3 linked regions of the Canis lupus familiaris genome follow. The protein of the gene in region 2 interacts with the protein of the main gene of each other region in a pairwise test. Links are inferred from orthologs where the notes say so. Each region holds a gene or a part of one and is shown on either strand. Other genes may lie near its edges.

Region 1 (7,589 bases), on a different chromosome or scaffold from region 2:
CTCAAAATTACTGAATCCAGCCCTGCCCAAGGGTTGTGTGTTTGTGTGTGTGTGGCGGGGGGCGGGGGGGACAGGTCAACAAACCACTGGCTACCTCCATACCAAGAGCAGCAAAGAGCTGCCTGCATAAGCAAAGAACACCTAAGTGATTTGGGGGGGGGCGGGGGGCAGGCTTGGTGCCCTGCTAAGCTAAACATACTTTCTGATGGACAGGACTGGAACCAGGTGGGCCTTTTCACAAGTTCTGTTTGTTCCCCTTTCTCTTACGACCCCTTTGGCTATCACCCCTAACATGGAAAAGCAAAAAATTAAAAAAAAATCAATATATTTATAAAAACATCTACTTCCCCAAACTAAAAATTAAGAGCCAATTACAGCAATAAAAAAAAAAAAAATTAAAAAGCACAGATGGATTCCAGGGTTTCGTTTCTTTACTTAACAAAAAAAAAAAAAAAGAAAAAAGAAAAAAAAAAAATCAAGCCCTAAGCCCAGTCAACAACTCCCTAAAGTAGCAGAAACTCCCTCCGAGGTAGATATCTGAGTCAGACACTCTCGTCCACCGAACGATTCTATTGGTTTAAGATGAGCTGCGTATGAGGTAATAAAGCCATCTGGAGGGGCAGGGGGTAGGGAGGAACAGGGCTCATGGCCCGTGTCCTCTGTCCAGAAGTCATGTCCCCAGTTTTGGCATCTGGTCAGGCAGGGCTGGCTTCTCCACAGATCCCAGAGCAGGTAAGTGGGGTGGGGGAGGGGGGAGCCCAGAGAAAGAAATGGAATACAATATGGTGGGTAGAGCAAGGGGAAGGTGATCTGAACAATAGGACTCTGGGCTGCGGGGTTTATGTGAGAGAAAAAGACTGAAAAAAGGGAAGACAGACCCCACTCTCCCCTTAGGGGACCCCATTCTCCCTGCCACGTAGTTAGCACCCCCAGCACTGAGACAGTCTGGTTGGGGACAGGATGACCCCATTCGCCCTTCTCTGTCTTGTGCTTCTCCTGTGTCTGGGGTTTGTCCTCTGGATGCCTGCGTCCTCTTCAAGAGTCGCCTTGTGAGCCCCCACCCCTCTGGCCCTGAGGGGCAAGATCAGTTGGAAGTGTCAGAGTGAACGCTCCCTGGTCCCTCTGTCGGAGATGTCACTGAGGACGGGGTTACAGCCTCCTGCCAGCCACCGTTGGCCTAAAAAAAGAGAGAGTTGGTTGGGGCAGGGCTCTGGGAGATTCAGTGTGGGAGACAAGGCCACCAGGGGAAAGGCCCTCCTGTCTGGGTGAGAGGTAGACAGAGGGAGCATCGGGTATCCACTCACTCTCATTTCCCGAGGGCTGTACATCTGGCCTCCCGCAAGGTTATCCCCGTAGCCCCCTGGCCCCATTGAGTGTCGCAGTGATTCCACCTGCAGGCAGCAAAGAAGGGTATGACACTGTGAGGCGTCTTATATTCTGAAGAGCAGGCAAGAGTTTGGGAAAGCCCCAATGGAGGGGACATGGGCCACCTGACCTGGGAAGCAGAGTAGGAATCTCCGTTGAGCCCCGGCATCCCCAGAAACATGTCTCCGGATCCTGAGAGATTGAAAGAGCCGCCAGAGCCTTGGGAGAACAGAGAGGGAATTAGGGAAGAGTGTAACAACCTGTGACAGCAGACAGAAGGCTCACTACAGTGCTGTTTCCAAGAAGCCCTCAGAACTATTTCTAAGGGGGTGCCACTATATGCAATTTATTCCTAAGGCACTACAACAAGGAGGAGCAGGCTGTTTCTGAGCCTCTCCTGTGGCTCCCCGGCCACTTGCTGGAGGACAGAAGTAGCTTCGCTGGGATGGCCTTTACCTCCTGACATCTCCACCCCACCTCAGCTAGGTCCCTCTCACCCCAAAAGGCCCCTACTCTGCTGAGATCCTGCCTAGATAGGAAGTGGGAACAAAGGCAGGAAGCGTGCAAGATAGCCAGGATGACAGTGGGGTCCACCTGCAGAGGAAGGGGGTGTCGGGGAGCTGGTGCGGCTGTGACCCCCCTGGGTGACTGACACGGCGGTCTTGACGGCATAGATGTTTGCCTCCTCTTGGAACTTTCCAATATTTTTCTTATAGCGAATCCGTTTGTTGCCAAACCAGTTGGAGACCTGTTGGGTGTTGAGCATAAAGGAGGGTCAGGTGCAGACCTTTCCCCCCACCAGCCTCTCAGTTAGAATCAGAGAGCTTTTGACCTGAACCCCACTGCTCCTGCAAGCCTCCCCAGTACCTGAGAGACAGTGATTCCGCACTTCTTGGCAAGCTCCTCCTTAGCCTCCTCACTAGGATATGGGTTACTCAGGTGGGAGTAGAAATACTCATTGAGGACCTCAGTGGCCTGTTTGCTGAAGTTGCGGCGTTTTCGTCTACAGAGGAGGGAGCATGGTGGTGAGAAGGCCAGCTGTCCTGGCAGGGCCTCCATCTCGCATCATTCTAGAGGGGGCCATTGCCATGGAGCGCCATGTTGTGTCACATGGTGGCCCAGGGGCTTGGGGGAACCCTGGGTCAGGGGCTCGCCTGGGCACCCGAGCCCCACCTGGCATCCAAGAAGCGGGAACGCAGGATCATGACAGCCTCACAGGTGCTCTGCTTGAGCTGCATCTGGATGGCACTGAACTTGCGATGGATGATGCTCACCATGCGCTCCATCTCCTTGGGTGCCACAGGCCGTGTGCGACTCTGCTCCCTCAGCAGGTTCATGACGTGGGTCGTGAACTCGTTACAGGCCTGCAGCAGGGGGCCCGTGGGCTGTGAGGAGCCTTGGGATTCCCCATTAGGAGCCTCTCCTCTCACCCACTCCAGCCTCATCTCCTAACCTGCTCATACTTCTCCAGCTCTGAGTGGTAGATGTGGCGGATCTGGGCAAGTTTGCTGCGGTAGTCGGAGTGCTCAATGGAGTTGTCAGGGGACACGCCGCCCCCGGAGGCTGCAGCAGCTGCAGCAGCTGCGGCTGAGCCCCCCCCTTTCTCCGGTCCAGCCACACCCTCTGCCAGAAGCATGTTGTCCAGGCGCATGAGCTGTGGGTCCACCGGCTCCTCCTCTTGGGAGCTTCGGATGCTGAGGCCTAGCAGGCAGGTGAGTGAACTCAGGGACCAGGGAGCCCATGGCCAGCTCTCAGCCCACCTGGTGGCTCCTGGAGACCCATGTTCCCAGGCTCTGGTTCCCTTCCCAGTTCCTCCTAGCATCTTACCTAACCCCTACTGTCCTCAGGGCCCCAAGATGTCAAACTCTTGGCCTGACTCCTATAAAGAACAGGGTTCAGTCCCCAGAGGTGAGGAGTCAGAGGGGGACCCACGTACCGGTTTTCTCCTTGATTTCACACAGAACACTAAAGAGAGCAGGCTTCATGCGGTGGCAGTTGAGGGCGTGTTTCCTTGGGAGGAAGGGGAGAACAGTTGAGGGTCAATAGAAACAGAGATGGGGTGGGGTTGGGGAGACCATGAAGGTGAGAAAGAGGGCAGCCCGGAACGAGAAGGGAGGTAGAAAGTGGGGGTGGGGGCAGGATGGAGTTGGGGGCTTCTTGGAAAGAGGTCAGCTCCTGGAATGTGGAGATGTGGGGGCTGTTTGGCTTTAGGAAGGTGCAGGCAGCAAGATAAAGGCCCCATGGGCTTGAACGGGGCCCTGGGAAATGGGTCTAGAAGGGGAGTCTGGGGGTGACTGCCGACATGAGGGTGACTAGGTAGATTTCAGAGGAAAAGAGACAGAGACTGGGAGAAGAGTCGGAGTTTGAGGTGCCAGAGAGGGGCTGGAGAAGTTCAACATAGGTGTGAGCGGAGGGTCCTGGGACTGAGGAAGCCAGGAGGCTCTGATGATCCCAGTCTGGCTGAGCAGGGGCCACGGGCTGGGTGGGGACACATGGATGCTGGGTCATGGTGGAGAGGAGTGGTAGGAGCTTTGGGGAGGGCTGAGGTCTGGAGAGGATGGGGTGGGGGTGGGCTGGATGGAGAGTTAGGAAGACAGCATAGCAATTTCTTAATCAGAGAGCCAGAACAGGGCTCTGGAGATGGAAAAGATGTTCCAGGGGAGTATGGGGGTCAGTGAGGGGTTGGGGATGGGGTTGCGGTGAGACCACCCTGGGTTCCCTTCTTTGAAGGCTTCAGGGCCTGGTGGTGAAGGGGGGTTTGAGAGGGATGGCTCATCTTGGGGCTCCCAGGAGTAAGGAGAGAAGAAGCTGTAGGATCCTGGAGGGGGTCCTGGAGTGGGGGGTGGGGGTGGGGACTCCCAGAAGATTCTTGTGAATGGGGCTTCTGTTGGGTCTGTGTAGGGTCCCGGGGTGGGGGCACTCACTTGGCCTGGGCCTCGTCCAGGCTCTGGTCGGTGATGGTCATTATCTGCTGCAGAATGTCCCCGATGTCTTGCTTCCCTCGGCCTCCCGGGACCCCCCCGCTACCCCCACCGGGGTCTCCGCCGCCGGGAGGCTCGCCAGGGCCCCCGGGCTCCCCACCCACCAATCCCAGGCCCCCGCGGCCCCCGCCCGGAGGGGGCGGCCCCAGCAGCCGCTCGTCCATAGTTGGGGGGGGGCCCTGAGGCCCCCTCCCTGCTCCGCCCCTCCCCCCGCCTAGTTACTTCCCCACCCCCAAACTCGGTGGGGCCGCTGCTCCCTCCGCCCTAACCCCCACCCGTTCCCCCCTCCCGGCTCCCCCGGGGGTTCACCCCCACCCCGAAGGGAGACCTGGGGTACCGGCTGGGCCCCCCACAGGAGACCCCGGCCCCCGGCGGCGGAGAAAATGGAGCCGGAGAGAGAGAGGAGGCCCAAGCGGGGGTGTGTGTGAGCGAGAGAGGGAGGAGGGAGGAGGGCGGAGGGGGGGAGCGAGGGAGGGAGGCTGGGGGAGGGGAGCCGGGGAGGAAGAGGAGGGGAGAAGAGAGGAGGAACGGGGAGGAGCTGGGGGCGGAGAGAGACACACAGAAACCGAGGAACTGGGACCGAGTGGAGGAGGGGAGAGGGACGAGGGGGCGAGGGGAGGAGGCTGGAGGCCGGGGGAGAGGAGCGGAGGCCGGGGCGGGAGGGCGGCGCGGGTCGGGGCTGGGGGGCCGCCGCCGGGGCTCCGAGTCGGGGTTCCAGGTGCCGTGGACTCCGGCCGCTAGAATGCCCGGGTTCGCAGACAGTTCCGTTCATATTTCTTGTCCTAATGACTCCCCTCCCTGTTATACTTAATTAAAACCAGGAAAGGGGGGCTGGGGGGGTATAATTAGGGAAGTCTCCAGCCGCTGCTTAATGAGCCAGTAATTAACCAGCCAGGGAGGGGAGCTGGCCTCTCGCCAGGCTAGGGAGAGAGGCGGCCTCTGGCCTCACCTTCCTGCCCCCCCCGTACCCCTCCCCCACAGCCCTCAACACCAGTCTTCTTTTAGTCCAGAGGATAATTACGTTTATTCGTACAACCAGAACATCAGACTCGAGCAGCAGTGGGGAGGCGGGGTGGGCAGTGCTAAGTGTCGGTTCACAGCCTGTAGGCCCCTCAGTCCTGGGGGCTGGGGGTGCTGGTGGTAGGGTGGGAGGATGGTCTGTCTCTTTTGCAATGCCCTGTCTCCCTTCTTAATGTGTCTCAAGGCCCTAACCTTGGGAGATTTGCCTTTTCTAGGGAGATGGAGGCCTGAGCCCTCAGATTCTGCCTTATGGGTGTCTGACTGGGGTGTCTCCACAGCTCAGGACCAAGACTTCCAGCCACTTCTTGGGATCAGAGGAGGGGGTGTCCCTCAGTGGCTAGGATCCTCTCACCTCTTCAAACTGCCGTGTACTGGCGAAGGGAGTCAAATGACCATCCTACCTTGACTATTCCCAGGGTTTGTGGACTTTTACCCCCTCTATTCCCCAGAAAGGTGGATGAGGGTGATGAATATTGAGATTTCTCCCAGGTCCTTCAGTCTCTGGCGCCCCTGCCAAGCAGGAGAAGAGGGCATGCAATGGGCTGCCCAGCTTTGAGCCCCAGGAGTGCGGAGTGCCTGGTGGGGGGGAGGGGCTCAAGTCTCAGCAGGTATGTGTGGGGGGCCGAGACCTTTGCTCCTCCATTCGACCCCCACCCTGAACTCTCAGCAGCAACTCCAGGAGCTCCTGTCCCCCTGGGGGTAGGGGAGGCTCTGACCGCTGGGCTTCCATCCGCTGGCTCTGGAGTAGAGGGAAGGGAGGTTGTCGGTAATATTTTAAGAGGAATAGGCCCTGAAAGGAGCCAAGGCTGATGAAAGGGGTCTATAGGGCACCTGTGATGGGGATGGAGGGGATCAGGCCTGGCAAAGGGGTGGATGCTGGGGAAATGAGGAGTAGGGCCCAAAAGACAACAAGGGCCAACGAACTGGCAAGCCTGGGTCTTGCCTTCTGGGGAGGCGTCTCACCTGGTGACTGAGGATAGTGCTGTAGAGCTGTTCTCTCTCCTCAAGAGGCCGAAGTGGGGCTGGGGCTATGCTTGGGGGGTTCTGGGGGATGTGGAAGGTGGCTCTTTGCTCCTCTAGGCGGCGGGACTGGGCCTCAGCCACCAAATCCAGAAGGAGCTCAGTCTGTAGGGAGAGCAGGGAGGCGGAGCAGGGCCCCAGGGCTGGGGAAAGGAAGGGTAGGGCTCAGAGACCCAGAGAAATTGGCAGACAGGAGGGGTGGTGGTGCAAGGTGATTAGGAACTTGTGGTCAGAGCTGAGGGGGAGTAGTGGGGAGTTAGGAGATGGAGAGAGGGCCCACGATGGGAATGGCCTTGGTAATGGGATCAGGAAGGATGTGGGCACCAAGGTCAGGGAGCTCCCTGGCCGGGTGAGGGTACCTGTGTGGCGGGTCCCTGGAGGAGGAGGGGACGGAGGAGCAGATCGCCAAGGCCTAGTGGTGGCATTCACAGGGGGCCAGTCCTGCTCATCCTGATGGGGGCCTTGATGCTGGGAGACATCCGGTCCAGTCAGGCGGGGGAGTGGTGGGCCAACAGCCCATTTCCTCTCTCTGTGTCTCTGTTCCTGCCTCAGTTTGCCCAAGCCCTTCCAAGTCCCCTGAATCCCCTGTCAGTACGTCTCTGCCCTATGTCGCATCACCTCCCTTTCTCCCAGTGTTAGCCTCCCCGACCCAGTGCGCAGCTCACCTGTTCACCATCCTCTTCCTCCTGGGGTCTCTCGGCCTCCATCCCCTGGGGGGAGAGAAACTGATGGGGGAGGGATAGCTGGGATTTGGAAGGAGGGCTGGAACTCTAGGTTCCTGAGGGGAGTGGGGGCTGGAAGGGGTGGGGGTGAGCCAGGGGCTGGATGCCTGGGTACTGAGCAGGAAGCTGGGTTCCTGGTCAGCCCCCCCACTGGCCCCGCCCATCCCTTTCAACTTCCTCCAGTTCTCTTTTCCCACCCAAACTGCTTGCTTGACCGCTCTTGCCCCAGGGGAACACAGAGACTGGGAAAAGCTCCTCCAGATGCAGTAGTGGAGGAGGTTCATGGTGGGGAAGGACTCTTGGCCTCCTCGTCTCCAGAGGCTCAGTAGACCCCCCCAAGGCCAGGCTCTGTTCTCTCCACTCCCCTCCTCCCCTTCAGCTCTTTCTGTCAACACAGGAACTAGCTACACAGGAAGTGGTTTTGCTCTTCAGAGCCCCTCTCCCTTCCTCAGGTCCCTTTCCTAAGAGGACCCCAATGTAG
Region 2 (7,156 bases):
GTAGCCTCCTCCCTCCCACCTGCCACCTGCCTCTAGTCCTCCCTCCCTTCACTGATCCTTATTCTCCTGTGTTGCACAGATCCCCTGCTGGCAGCTCTGTGTCCTGGGCAGGGCCAGGCACAAGGACGGAAAGAGCCTCACTTTTAATAGCTAAGCGCTTTCCCTTGATGTGGAAAAGTCCTTGTCCACGGTGCTTTGAACATTTACTGTTCTGCAGTATAGATGTGCCCCATTCACTTGGCCACTCCTCTGAAGTTGGACTTTAGGATTCTCTTTTTTCACAATCATTTAAACACACACACACACACACACACACACACACACACCCTGGAATTTTTTTTTTTTTTTTTTTTTGGAATAAATCTTTTAAGGCTCTTTCAGATTTCCCTCCTGAAAGGTTGTGTTTGATTGGGCTTTTGTTAGCTGCTTCAGTGTTTTGTGTTTATGAGAGAGAGAGAAAGAGAGAGAGAGGGAGAGAGAGAGATCTCCCAGGCCCACGGCACCGTCTACGGGCAGTGGGACGCAGGTATTCATGCACAGCTGGACCATCCGAGAGGCAAGGGCGGTGCTAGGGCCTACACTGCAGGGCTCCCCCCTTGGCTTGCACCCACCCCCGGCTGTCAGGGCGGGGTTCATGCCAGGTTGCAGGCTCTCAGGGTACATGCGGATAAGCCCCTTCCCTTGAGTGCCTGCACCCGGCTTCTTCCTCGAGGGACGGGGTTGTGGCAGCCGGGGGTGGGTAGGTGGGTCCTGGTCCTGAGGAGTTCAGGGGGCTGGTGATCTGCTCATGGGTAATTATAAGGTTCCTGCAGCAATTTGAGATTTCTTTCTGTAAACCGAATTCCTTATGTTTAAGGATTTAGATACCTTTCACCTAAGTTAGGAATCAAGTAGCTAGTTTAAAGCAACTTAACTGATAATATCTTTTAATACTGTTTCTTTAAACACAGCTGTCTTTGCCTTCTGAATATGACTTTTTTCCTCAAAATTTGTATAGCTTATGTATTCCTGAAATTAAAGAGTAGATGGGGAGAATTTCAGCCCTGTCCTGAATAGAATGTAGGGTCTGAGTGGTTTCTGTCACAAGAGTTTGAGCTATTTGTGTGTATTTCTCTTACTGCAGTGTTAGTGTGAGGATCTAGAGAGAGATTATTTGTGTGCCACTTGCCTTCAGCACTGTGTCGTAGTATATTTTTGAAAATCATAAGCATTTCTCGGATACTGGTCCTCTCGGTTTTCAAGATAATTTGGAAATTTGACCTTTGTTGTAGCCATTTTCAAAGCCTATTAAATTCAAAGGAGTTTTGTTGGTAGCATTTTTATGTACTATTGCCAGTCATCCCGCTGTGTAGCAATTTACCATTTCTGTTGCATTTGTTTCTGTTTGAGAATAGAGTACGTAGTAGCAGTTTATGTTGTGTTTAGTAACCAAATTCTCCTCCTCCCTTCACAGATGCAAGTAGTAACAGAGTTAAAAACGGAGCAAGATCCCAACTGCTCTGAACCTGATGTGGAAGGAGTGAGCCCTCCACCCGTGGGGTCCCAGACGCCAATGGATGCAGACAAGCAGGCCATTTATAGGTAGCAATGAGATGTGATGCATGTGGGTTTTTAGCAGGAATAACAGGAGTAGAGAACCTTGTTAAATGGAATATACTAGAACTATTAGGTAGGCAGGGTAGGGAAGTAGGTGATAACCACTGGAGTGAGAAGTTTGTCAAGTTAAGATGTTACTCCTAATACCTTAAAAGCTTTGGAATAGAAATCTATGTTTTAGTCAATCTTGTAAAAAGAAACCTTTAGGCCAGGGTAGTTTTACTGGAGAATCCCGTAAAGGAAGAGAGAATGCTTCCCAATACATCACTCTGGTACTAAAGCCAGATAAAGACAATACAAAAAAGAAAAATACACACCGGTGTGCCTCATGAACTTAAGCATAAAAATCACTAATCAAATATTAAATCCAGCAGCACATAGAAAGAATAACATACACTGACCAAGTGGAATCTATCCCACGAACTCAAAACTGATTCACTAGTCAAACAGTCAACCAGTGAGGCCCACAACATGATCATACCAAATGACACAGGAAAGCATTTGACAAAAGTCAGCAGCTAATTATGATTAAAAACTGTCAGCAGAGTGGCAATAGAGGAAAACTTCCCTGACCTGATGAAAGGCAACCTCAAAAGGTCTATAGTTCTCATCATAGTTAATGGCCAAAGACTGTTTTCCTCCGAGCTTGGGCATAAGCAGAGATGTCCACCCTGACTCAACCCATTCACACCGCCGTAATGAAAGTCCTAGCCAGTGCAGTAAGGCACTTTTCTTACTTATAGAAAAGGGATACCAGATTAGAAAGGAAGAAATAAAACTGGCTCTGTGTACAAACAACATAATTGTCTATGTAGAAAATCCCAAGGATTACCGAAAAACTCCCAGAACTACTTAAGTAAGTTTAATAAGGTCACAGATTACAAGAGCTACCAATCCCATTTCTTTCTTTCTTTTTTTTTTTAAGATTTTATTTATTTATTCATGAGAGAGACACACACAGAGAGCGAGGCAGAGACACAGGCAGAGGGAGAAGCAGGCTCCATGCAGGGAGCCCGACATGGGACTCAATCCCGGGTCTCCAGGATCACACCCCGGGCTGCAGGTGGCACTAAACTGCTGTGCCACTGGGGCTGCCCACCAATCCCATTTCTATATGAGTGATATACAATTAGAAGCTGAAATTTAAAAAGACAATACTATTTACAAAAGCTCCAAAAAATTTAGGTATAAATCTAACAAAACACAGAAACTTTATGCTGAAAAACTAGAATGCCAATGCAACAATCAAAGAAAACCTATATTAATGGTGAGACACACCATATTCATGGTTTGAAAGGGTCAACATAGTAAAGATGTCCTTTCTCTTAAAATTGACTTGTAGATTTACCACAATTCCAATTAAAGCCTTAGCAGGATATTTTTGTACATATGGACGAGTTAATTCTAATTTTATACGGAAGGCAAAAGAGCTAGACTTGCTAAAACAGCGTTGAAAACAAAGAACAAAGTTGGATTTTGAGATGTACTATGTATGGTATTACAGTAACGAGGACGTGGTGATGGTGGTGAAGGCATAGGATCAGTGTCACTGATAGAGTCCAGAAGTAGATGTACAAAAACATGATTTATTTGATCTTTGACCAAGGCACAAACACAGTTTCTTGGAGTAGAGGTAGAGTTTCCAACAAGCGGTGTTGGAACAATTAGACATTCATATGCTAAAGGAAGATCCTTGACCTAATCTCACATTTTATATGGAAGTTTACTCAAAATGGAGTATAGATCTATTTTTTAAAAAAAAGATTTTATTTATTTATTCATGAGAGACACAGAGAGAGAGAGGCAGAGACACAGGCAGAGAATCAGGCTCCATGCAGGGAGCTCGATGCAGGATTCGATCCTGGGACTCCAGGATCACACCGTGGGCCCAGAGCAGGCGCTTAACCGCTGAGCCACCCAGGCATCCCTGGAGTATAGATCTAAACATAAAATTTAAAACTACATAAAACTGATCTGTCCACACAGTAAAATATTATTCAGCCACAAAAAGGAACAAAGTATTGGGTGAGCCTGGGAAACACCACGCTAAGGAAGCTAGATGCCAAAGGGCACGTGTGGTATAATTCCGTTTATACGAGATGTCTAGAACTGGCAAATCTGTAGGACAAAGTCGGTAGTGGTGGCCTGGGGCTGGGCTTTGGGGGAAAATGGGCAGTGACTGCTCATGGCTACCAGGTTTCTTTTGGGGGAGGATGAAAAAGCTGCAGAATTGACCTTGGTGATGGTTGCAGCGCTCTGTGAACAGAGTAGACACCATTGGATTGTACACTGTAAGCAGATAAATTGTAGCACGTGAACTGTGTCTCAACAAAGCTGTTACACTAACGAATGCGTACATACATGCTAAAATATTCTCGTGCAAATGTAGAACATATATTTTACATTTTTTCCCCCCAGGCATCCACTATTTCCATTATTAGCTTTGTTGTTTGAAAAATGTGAACAATCTACACAGGGCTCAGAAGGCACAACTTCTGCCAGTTTTGACGTAGATATTGAAAATTTTGTAAGGAAGCAAGAGAAGGAAGGAAAACCTTTCTTCTGTGAAGATCCGGAAACTGACAATTTAGTAAGTAAAATATGTGTTTTATTCTTATTTTTTTACTTCTTCCAAATTTAAGATCCATTCAATAAATTTTAAACTTCAAAGTAGGACTTTAGAATGTAGTTCTGCTAAAGGGGAGAAAGTTCATGAAATAACTTCCTGTGTGTGTGACCTGTCCCCACGTCTTCCAGCCTTCTCTGGTGACCTTTACTGTAGGGATCAAAGGAGATCATCTAAGCCTGCATCACAGAGGGACTGAGGATTCAGTTCTTTTGTAAATATTTGTGAAGTTTGTTGGGGTTGGTGTGCTTACGTGCCCTGCGTCTCGGGCATGTGTGTGCCCCACTCCTGTTCTTGGCTTTTCCCTGATCGTGGCCACACAACCTTATTGTCCAGGACAGACCTTTAGCTCTGTCTTAGGCTGGCAGTAAGGTGTGGTGGGCCACAAGGCTGATGCAGGCACAGAGCCGGCCAGGCTTAACAAAGGGCCCCCACACTTCTCACCGCGTCCCCTGGCCTTTCTGCCTCACGTGGTGGGTGCCCTCCTCCCTGCCTCGGGAGGTTCGGGGTTCCCTGTGCTGTCTAAAGGAACTGCAGAATTTGTCAGAGTTAACATCCCTGCTGCACCCAAAGGAGCACTGCCCTTCTGTGCCAGTGGAGCACGTTAGCCTGCGTTGGGGGGACACGCCCCTTCCCTGGGTTTCCTTTACCGCCTGCTAAGCCCCAGCCCAAAACCTTAGGGCCCTTATCAGCAGAAAAGCATCTTTAGAAAACTTTTTCCTGAATAAATGTCTCGGATCTTTGTTGTTTGTATGTATGTGTATATGTATTTATTTTTAAGATTTTATTTATTTATTCATGAGAGACACACAGAGAGGCAGAGACATAGGCAGAGGGAGAAGCAGGCTCCCTGCGGAGAGCCCGATGTGGGACTGGATCCCGGGACCCCAGGGTCACGCCTTGGGCCGAAGGCAGGCGCTCAACCGCTGAGCCACCAGGCATCCCCCTTTGTTGTTTTTTAATTTCTCATTATACGTTCAACTCTTGGTGCCTAGTGGGCTTTACCAATGCGCTGTCTGAGCTGGAGTCAGCTTCCTCAGCTTTGACCTGGGTCCAACAGTGCCCGCCCTGTGGGGTGAGCAGCAGGAGCTGTCCCCGCCTCTGGATCTCTGGTCCTCAGCCAGCAGTGTGTGGGCCGCGGGTGTAGCCGGAGGGACCCAGGCTCTTCTGACTGGCGTTCCAGCACAGGGCCTAGCAGAGCTGGGCACCCAGTCACTCGCTCTGGTGACCGATGGACTGGTTCGTTCCACAGCACCTACGGATTACTGCCTCCAGGGTCACAGGGAAGGAGCTGGGCGTTGGGTTGTGGATTCACAGGCCTGTAGTGCTTATTATTACAGACCCTTACCTACTGCGGTGGGCCGGGTTACTCTGAAACTTAGTAAAGTCACCATAAAACCTTTGTAAAAATCTTAAAAGGGCTGATCTAGTGCTGGGGGCAGAGTTCTTAGGCTTGACACCGAAAGCACAGGCCATAGAAGGCAGAGCAGGTAAATTAAGTTTTATCAAAATTAAGAGCCGCCTGTGAGATGGGTACGGATTCCTCCCCATTTACAGGTGAAGAAACCGGAGCAGAGGGAGGGGGACCTTGCTCTTTGTGTAGCAGGTCAGTGGGGCCGAGTCGAGGCCCGGCTGCCTCCGGGTGCTGTGACTCCCCAAGGACGGCACGGGGACCATCTGTGTCCCCACACGCCAGATGCAGCGAAAGTGCCAAAGGTCTGTGGCGCTGGGGTGACTCGTCGTCTTGCCTGGTTTCTGACGGGATTCCCCTCCCGTCGGGGGCTGCGCGGCAGTCAGGCCAATACCCGACAGTAGTTAGGTGCCGAGGATTATAATTTACCCTTAAGCTGTCATTTCCTTGTCTGAACGCCTTCATTTTCTCTGCTTCTAGATGGTCAAAGCGATCCAGGTTTTACGTATTCATCTTCTTGAGCTGGAAAAGGTTAATGAACTGTGCAAAGATTTCTGCAGTCGCTACATTGCTTGTCTAAAAACGAAAATGAACAGTGAGACTCTCCTGAGCGGAGAACCTGGAAGCCCGTACTCCCCTGTCCAGTCCCAGGTATCTATGTGGGTCCTGCTGAGCTTCGGGGTGACTGTACGATCTGCACGGGTGACGGGTGCTGTCCTCTGAGACCAGTAGCCCTGTCAGAGCCCCGGGCTGTCTTAGGGCCAACCTCCAGCCAGGAGGACAGGCCCTCGAGGCGTCGTGCAATAAGTGGGGTGAGGCCTCGACTTGTGTACCAGACCCTGGATCCCACCTTTCTGGAGGATGGACTGCCATTCACTGCTTTCCTTTTTCTTTGGAATATGGTTTTTGTTATTTCTTAAAATTGTGGTAAAATACATGTCATAAAACGTAGCATCTTAATCATTTTTAAGTGTACAGTTCGGTGGCATTAAGCATCTTCCCGCTGCTGTGCAAACCATCGTCACCATCCATCTCCAGAGCTTTCCATCTTCGTAGACTGAAATGCTGTCCTCATTAAATGCTGACTCTCCACCTTCCCTCCCCCGCCCCTGGCCCCTACATTCTACTTGCTGTCTCTGTGAGTTTGATTAGTCTACGTACCTCATGTAGGGGATCGTACCGTATTTGTCCTTTTGTGTTTGACACGATGTCCTCAGGGTTCATCCGTTTTGAAGCACTATTATACTTGAGCCATTCTGTGGTACGTAGTGACACTCGTGGTTGTAGTGTGCGGTTCTCCGATGGCTAATGGTGTTGACCTTCTTTTCATGAGCATGTTTGCCATCGGTGGATCCTCCTTGGTAGAATGCCTGTTCATGTCTTTAGCTCATTTTCCTTCTTTTTCTTTCTTTCTTTCTTTCTTTCCTTTTTTTTTTTTTTAAGAATCTTCTTTTTTTTAAATTTTATTTATTTGTTTATTTGTGAAAGACAGAGAGAGAGGCAGACACAGGCAGAGGGAGAAG
Region 3 (7,711 bases), on a different chromosome or scaffold from region 2:
ATAAGACAAAGATCGTAAAATATGGCTAAAAAAAAGTCATCAAGGGGGAAAATCTAAACATATCAACAACTACCTCGCTGGTTGCTTAGTTAGTTGAAAATAAACAAATTAAAAAAAATAGACAAATATATTGATTTTAAAGCCTATAACTCTTTAGTTGCTTTCAAAATGCATAAATATTACAACTCAATGAAAGATGACATTTCTACCCAAAAATAATTGTACGATGAATTTTACAAAAGAATACATTTTCAAGAAATAGCAAGCATCTCATAGTAAAAGTATACTTTCCCTACCTCCGAACAAGAAAATAATATAATTGTGGTAGATTACCCATTTACCTGTCAGAAAGGAAAAATATCTTTTCATATGTGGTGGAAGAGAAAAAAGAGGTTTTCCAAACTAAATCCCTCATGTGCATCAGAACTGGCTGTGTTCACTGTCTGATCAGGAACCTCAAAATCTACTGGCAGATCTATAAATACATGGAATTCTTTTTAAATGATTTTGTCTTATTTTAGGAAAAGCACAACTGAAATGACATTATCCCTTGAAGTGACAGTTTTTCCCCCCCACCTCCCCACTAGTCAACCCCCTACCCCTCCATTATGCAGAATAGAGTCATCACATAATATTCCAGTTTCTGCTACAAATAGGTAAACTTTCTCTAGATTGCAGAGAAATAATCTCTGGGTGCCACATTATAAGATTAAATAAAATGATCTAAAGGAAAACCATTATGCAATATACATATATTCTACAATGATTATTTTATAAGTTCATGATGTTTCCAAAGCACAACTGTGGGAACAGATGTGGGGAGAAAGGGGGAGGCCTGGAATTTGCTGCCCCGCGTTCTTTGCCTTGGTAACACTAATGTCTACACAGATGTTTTATTTCAAATCAAGGATACAAGGTCCAGCGTCCCTGTCTCTTTCTAAGACTAGTTTTGGAGGATGAGGTGGAGCTATGGGTGGTGGGTAGAAAGGAGAGGAGAGAAAGAGCTTCACCCCCATCAATCATATGGTACTTAAATCCTGTCCCTCTCCAGCTTAGAGAGGCAGGCAGGAAGATGCCTCTACCCAGACAGCTGCCTTTTACTCTTTGTCGGCTGTTGGCTTTTTACAAAAGAGATAACGTGCAAACTTGAATCTGCTGGCCAAAGCATAAAAAGAGGATCTAATTTACAAGTTATCACTGAAAGCCTCAGAAACAATTTTCAAAACACAAAAATTTCCTTCCTTTGTCAGCTACCTCTTCCTTTCTAAATAGCAAGAGCCCGACCGAAGCTCTCTCTGCCAGTAATCCCAGAGTCTGAAAAGACTTGTTTCTTTTTCGTAACTCACCTTTGACATTAGGCTGACTATACTTTCCTTTCAGAATAGTGTAACTAAGTCTTGTGCAAATAAGCAACTAGAGGACTTATGCCTCCTAATTGAATTCGGCCTGCTGCTAAGTGTCCAAATAAGAAAAGCAGTTTGCTGGGTTTGGTTCTCGAGCTGGCTAGGCCAAAACTTTAAAAAGGCAAAAAAATAAATACAAATAACGAGATGGGGGGTGATAGGAGAAGAATATCAATCTCCTCTCCCTAGTAATATAATGCAGTGTAAGTTGAATCAATCTTAATATTCACAACATAGTCAATACCCCAGTGCTTAGCTGTCAGCAGAAACTGAAGTGGAGCCCTGATAGCGAGAAAATCCTTGGACATTAAGCAACATAATTTACTGAGAATTGTACACTTTTAGGCTTCTAAACTAAGAATCTTCAAGATTTAATGTTTGATGTCTCATTTTATAGTCAGACAAAAATTATCTACCATTTTAAATCACAATGCTTCCTAAAGGTGGCTAAAAATCAACACAAAGTTAGTAATTTAAAATGCCTGTAGTTTTCAAAATGTAAAATGTTATCTTAAAAAGAATCACTCAGCATTTACAAACCATGAATGCTATGTGAATGAGAAGCAAGAAAACTGTTCTTTAAAGATCTCAATATTTTCTATTAATTATGGTTTCAGTATACATTTTAATAGATAGCAATAACCCATCATCTTCTCTTGATTACTTTTAGAATTAGAATAGCACTGAGTGTGAAAAATCTACTTAAAGGGATGGCAATACTCCTACCAACTAACAAGTATATTCAGTGTACTATCATTTGTACACTTGATTTAAATACAATGACATTTAATCTTTTAAAAGCATCACTTGGATATTGCTATATCCTGGATTTTAACTTTCTCTTCTCTGCCTCAACTTAAAAAACAGCAACTTTATAATACCATATAGCTACCACACACACACACACACACACACACACACAAGCACGCACCCCAGACAAATCAACAGTAAAGCTTGTTTAATGCACTTGTTTGCCATAATACAGGGCAGATAACGCCAAATCCGAACTAAAGCACCTAAATTAAATTTCTGATTCCACTTGAGTTATCACCTCAAAACTAAAATACCTTTAATTTTAAAAAGCCTAACAAGAAAATTCAATTGAAATGAACTGTCAGAGACTCATGTTTTTGTAGTTTTTATTCCAGCACTTCTGTCAAACCTGTCTTTCTCATATGTTCCCTGCACTGAACACTTCAAAAATTGTGTAACCTGCTGTGAACCTTTTTCTACTTTCTAAAACATATTAAACGTATTTACAATGTAATGACTTCAAACATAAAATTTAATGAAAGTAATAGGTGTAATACATTGTGTATGCCTAAACACATCATTACCCTTTCCTGCTTCTTAAAAGTAGCCTTTCCAACTAAAACCCTAATCCAGACATCCTCCTGGAGTCTGTTCAATTGCATCTATCTGCGGAGCTGAAGCTTACTTAGGGTGTCTAAGTAAAACAAAGTTAGGAGATGCTTCTCCCAGGGACTCGGTCCCTGGCATCCAGTCTCCCGTTGCTCCTTTTAAAAACTGACATACAAACAAGGCGAAAGGAGCGGGAGAAGGCAAGGCGGCTGGCGCTCGGCTCGTGGGGGGGGGCCCCTCCCTGCCTGCAGCCAGGGGCGGCCGCCTGGGGACAGCGACCCAGCCCCGTCCGCATCTACACTTCATTTTATACCAGGGGCGGAATTGAGAAATCGACTCCAGCAGATTTATTGCAGTTTTTCCTCAAGACCAGGAGGTGGGAAGGAGAGAATGATCAAAGATGGCGGTGCCCAAAAGCAGCAGCTCTCAACTGGAGAGTGGAAGGAGTAGCTCTGACCCCACCTCGGGGGTCTCCAGGCCCGCTGCGGGGCGCAGCCTCTTACCTGTTTTCTCTTTGATCTCACACAGGACGCTGAAGAGCGCAGGTTTCATTCTGTGACAGTTGAGAGCATGTTTCCTAAAAGACAAATCGCAACATACAAAGGTATTAGCATCACCTATGGAATAATATGGCGCCTTCCTTTAAGTTCGACCCAAGATTGAATCCCGGCCCTCTCTTTTGGAAGGCTCGCCTGGAACCAGGGCAAGTCAACAGAAACTCAAGTTGACTAGTTAGCGAAAGCCCGCAAGCTCGGGCGGCTCAAGCTCCAGCCCGTTCGAGGCGCGACCCATCCGTCCGGCGGGCGGCCGCCTCGGCGACCGCAGGGCGCGAACCCGAGCGGGGCGCCTCGACAGCCGAGCGGAGCCCTGCGCCCCGAGGGAGGGGACGGCGCGGACCGGCTCCCGCGTCCGCCCTCCGCCCTCCGCCCTCCGCAGGGGGAGCGGGCGCTGCGGCGGCGGCCGGCCGAGCGCGGCCAGCGGGCGGTGACAGCCCGGCAAAGTTTGCGAGGCGGCCCTCCCTCCCCGAGAACTTGGCCGCCCGCACCCGGACGCGCCAGGGAGCCGCCCGGCACCCCGCGCCCGCCGGGCTGGGGCGGCCGCCCGCACCGCGAGGCCGTCCGGCCGCCGAGGGACGCCCGGCGCCGCGACTCCGGGCGGGGGGAGAAAGTTGCACTTCCCGCGAGCGCGGCCCGGGGCCCTCTCGGGGCAGCGCGCGCGGGGGCCGGGCGGGAGCTTGGAGTCCGCGGGAGGGGGCCGGGCCGCGGGAGCGCCGGACGCGGGAGGCGGACCACCGGGAACCCGCGGGCACCGCGTCCGTCCCGAGCCCCGGGACCAACTTTGCCGACTCCCGCCCGCGTCGGGGGGGGCGGGCAGGGCCCCCGGCGGCCCCGGCAGGCAGGCGGCCGGTCTGCGGAGAAAGTTCCCCGCCCCCGGGGCCCCGACTCGGCCGCGGGCCCGGCTCCCGCACGCACACAAAAGATGCTTAATGAGACACCAACTTTGCTTGCGCCTCGTCCAAGCTCTGGTCGGTGATGGTCATGATCTGGTGGAGGATGTCGCCGATGTCCTGCTTCCTGCCGTCGCCGTCCGCCCCTTCGTGGCCGTGCGGGGGAGGCGGCAGGGCCATGCCCCCCTGCACCGAGTGGCCGGCCAGGTTCACCCCGGCCAGAGTCTGCAGCATCCTGGATTGATCGTCCATCCCGCCGCGCGCGGGCGGGAGCGGGCGGCGGCGGCGGCTACGGCGAAGGCTGAGGCGGCGGCGGCGGCGGCGGCGGCGGCGGCGGCGGCGGCGGCGACGAGGGAGGAGAAGAAAGAGGGGGAGGGGGAGGGGAGGGGGAGGGGGAGGCGGCCGCGCGCTCCCCGCCCGCGCGGGGAGGGGGCGGCCCGGCCGGCGGGGCTCGCGGCTGAGGCGGCGCGGACGGGCGCCCGGCTCCGGCTTCCGCCGCCGCCGAGGCTGAGGAGAAGCGCCGGGCGGAAGCGCCGGGCTCCGCGGCGGTGGCTGTGGCGGTGGCGGAGGCGGAGGCAGCGGCGCCCGCTGCCCTCACGCGGCCGCCGCGCCGCCTCCTCGCCGCCGCGCGCCCCGCCGGGCGGCCCCGCGCAACTTGCTCCTCAGAGCCCGCCGAGTTGCCGGGACGCCCGCCGCCCCCCTCCCAGCCCGCGCACTCCCCTCCCCCGGCCGCCGCCGCCGCCGCCGCCTCGGCCGGGCGGGATCCGAGCCCCGGTGGCCCCGGGGGAGGGAGCGGCGGCGGCAGGCGGCGGCGGCGGCGGCGGCGGAGGAGGAGGAGGAGGAGGAGGAGGCCGGCGGGCGGGCCGAGGGGAGCGAAGGGGGCGGAGGAGGAAAGTTTGGGAGCGGGCGGGCCGGCGCAGCGGGGCGCGGAGCCCAGTGGAGGGCCCCGGCGGGCCGCGCGCCGGGCGGACAGCAGACTGTGGGGCGGGAGGAGTCGCCGCCGCCGCTGCCGGAGCCGCGCGCCCTGCCAGCCGCCGCCGCGAACCGGGCTCGGAGGCCGCTCGACTGAGGGATTGACAGGCTGCCAGTGCCACTCACTCACTGCGGCCCCGGCGCCGGGGGGGAGGGGCGGGGGCGGGGGGGGGCGGGCAGCGCGCCGCACGCCCCGCCCCCGAGGGCGGCGCGCGCGCTCATTGGCCGCTGCGCCTCCCGCCGCCGCCGCTGGCGCCTCCCCCGAGCCGCGGCCCGGCCTCTCCGGCCTCGGGTCCCCAGCGCCCGGGAGCGCGCCGCGGTCTCCTCACGCCTGCGTGCGTCCTGGGCCCGCCAGAGCAGCCGCCCCGGCCTGCAAGCGCTCTGCCCCGCGCCCGCCCGGGCTCCTGGCCGCTGCTGTGCACAGTCCCGGGTGCGAGGAGTCGCGTACGGGACACGGGGCAAGTCGCTCCAAAGCCCCCCGTGTGCCCGCCCGCAGCGCCGCGCGCTTCACGCCTAGGGCAGCGCCTGGCACGCTTTCCCGCCCTCGCCGTCAGGAGGTGGTCCCCTCGGGGTTCCGCTGCCCGTCCCAGGCCAATCGTGCTGCGCTCGGAGCCGAACGGGGCGGGACAGAGGCAGGAACGCGCTGTCCCGATTGGAGCATTCGAACTGTCCTGGGCGGAGGCGGGGAAGCCGCGGACGGGGACCCGCCCCTCCCGGGATCACCGTAGGGACCGAGAGGGCGCCGCTCCGGGTGGGCGCTGCGCTCGGGCCCTGCGCCGTCCCTCCCGAGGTGACCAGGCGGGGCGGGAGCCCGTTGTCCCGCTTGCTGCAGGTCTGCGTCTGCTTGGAGCGGATCTGAGTGCCAGACACTTTCTCTTGAAACGGGAGCGTTGGGAAATGTGTCAGAGGGAGGTGGCTGTGGGAGGAGGGAAACGGCCTGACGTCCAGCACCAGTGCAGGCCTCGCAACAGCTCACAGTCTGCAATTCTTGATAATCCAGGGATTGCTCCTTTGGCAGGGTTTGCCTTTATTTTTATTTATTTATTTATTTATTTATTTATTTATTTATTTATTTATTTATTTATTTACTTATTTATTTACTTATTTATTTTTTTTTTTTTTTTTTTAGGGTTTGCCTTCAGCTGCCTCCAGATGGGCCAAAGTTGCGAAAACGAGCTCTTTATTACAAAGATAAGTTTACCTTACGATAGACTGGATTTCACTTATCAACCTGCCCCATCACCAGGAGTCATTTAATGTTGGGGACCCCGGCTACGGATTTTCACATCCAAAACACCTTTTCTTACATTGTTCTCTGTCTACAAATGACTAAAGACACATTATTTGGGGATCTAGACTTCCCGCTCTTGCGGTCACTTGAGCTTTCTTTTCTTTTTTATTTAAAGATTTTTATTTATTTATTCATGAGAGACACAGAGGGAGGCAGAGACACAGGCAGAGGGAGAAGCAGGCTCCATGCGGGAAGCCCGACGTGGGACGCGATCCCGGGTCTCCAGGATCACGCCCTGGGCCAAAGGCAGGCGCTAAACAGCTGAGCCACACGGGCTGCCCCTTGAGCTTTCTTTTAAACCCATTTCCCAAACAACTTCCACGTGTCTCCATTTTGAGATTCATGGAGCTCATCCTAGATGGGTCCTTTAGTTAGATGGTTCTGAAAAGTCTTGTTCCTTCCCTAAACTCAGAGGGCTGTCTTATCTGAAACCAAAAATAGGGGTATGAGATATGAAAAATGGCTCTTACTCTGCAGGGTTTAATGTAGGACAAGCAGTTCTTTACATGCCAGATGGATTCTTGGAATGAAGCAGGCTACTCGGTTCCAGGTTCTTTCCTTCATATGTTGTGTGTACTTTTAAATACTCCCCACTGCAAAGCTAATAGCTAACCTTACAGTTAGGCAAGCTAAAATCTTTACAAACTAAACTGCACAGCTGCTGGAGAGGGAGTTCCAAACAATCCATTCTGCTTACTTCCAAAGAAGCCCCCTCATGTTCATTAATATTCCCTGCTCTTCTATAGCCCATTCATATGTCAAGTTTCTGATTCTTCTTTCAAGCCCCCATTATGGGTTACTCATAGTCATCATTGGTTGGCCTTTCTGTTTATTCTTAACTTGTTTTTCAAAGCTGTTACCAAATCCTTCTACATTTTTGCATAAAGGAGTAAGAGTAAGCATCCCATCTTTCTCACAATTCTCTAATGCTGAAGATGTAAAACCACGGAATTCTATCGGAAAGACACCTTAAGCTCTAAATTCCTTCCATTTATAAAATTCACTGATCCTATGACTCACTCTCAGGCCACCTTCCTGCCCTTCTTCTAGGCTCATAATCTTGACTAATCAGTCATGAGGATGAAGCTAATTAGCAATGGGGATTTATGGTTATTTCTAGTCTGCTCCTAAACAATGAGTTATGTAAGCAAAGCAACATATATAAAAATGTAAATAAAATTAAAGAAACACTTAAGCAAATAAAGGCAATTGGGATCTATGGGCTATGTAAACAAA

Evidence for each region.
Region 1: the proteins of homeobox protein PKNOX1 (region 2) and PBX2 interact in binary tests that used the Homo sapiens proteins (3 or more experiments, as listed by UniProt). The link is inferred for Canis lupus familiaris from reciprocal best matches to the Homo sapiens genes PKNOX1 and PBX2.
Region 3: the proteins of homeobox protein PKNOX1 (region 2) and PBX3 interact in a two-hybrid assay, tested with the Homo sapiens proteins (2 studies listed by BioGRID and IntAct). The link is inferred for Canis lupus familiaris from reciprocal best matches to the Homo sapiens genes PKNOX1 and PBX3.

The regions. Positions count from the first base shown.
Region 1 is NC_049233.1:1,711,317-1,718,905, forward strand, and holds the start of PBX2 (pre-B-cell leukemia transcription factor 2), read right to left. Parts: upstream 4,526-7,589; 5' UTR 4,511-4,525; coding exon 4,290-4,510; intron 3,376-4,289; coding exon 3,302-3,375; intron 3,067-3,301; coding exon 2,819-3,066; intron 2,730-2,818; coding exon 2,539-2,729; intron 2,369-2,538; coding exon 2,233-2,368; intron 2,114-2,232; coding exon 1,960-2,113; intron 1,585-1,959; coding exon 1,496-1,584; intron 1,392-1,495; coding exon 1,305-1,391; intron 1,178-1,304; coding exon 1,085-1,177; 3' UTR 1-1,084. Other genes in the region: GPSM3 (G-protein-signaling modulator 3), read right to left, coding at 5,968-6,105, 6,330-6,529, 6,746-6,867, 7,053-7,093. UniProt on the Homo sapiens protein: Transcriptional activator that binds the sequence 5'-ATCAATCAA-3'. Activates transcription of PF4 in complex with MEIS1.
Region 2 is NC_049252.1:37,080,928-37,088,083, forward strand, and holds part of homeobox protein PKNOX1, read left to right. Parts: intron 1-1,453; coding exon 1,454-1,581; intron 1,582-4,014; coding exon 4,015-4,186; intron 4,187-6,113; coding exon 6,114-6,284; intron 6,285-7,156. UniProt on the Homo sapiens protein: Activates transcription in the presence of PBX1A and HOXA1.
Region 3 is NC_049230.1:57,497,808-57,505,518, forward strand, and holds the start of PBX3 (pre-B-cell leukemia transcription factor 3), read right to left. Parts: upstream 4,526-7,711; 5' UTR 4,465-4,525; coding exon 4,265-4,464; intron 3,965-4,264; exon of another isoform or gene 3,873-3,964; intron 3,343-3,872; coding exon 3,269-3,342; intron 1-3,268. UniProt on the Homo sapiens protein: Transcriptional activator that binds the sequence 5'-ATCAATCAA-3'.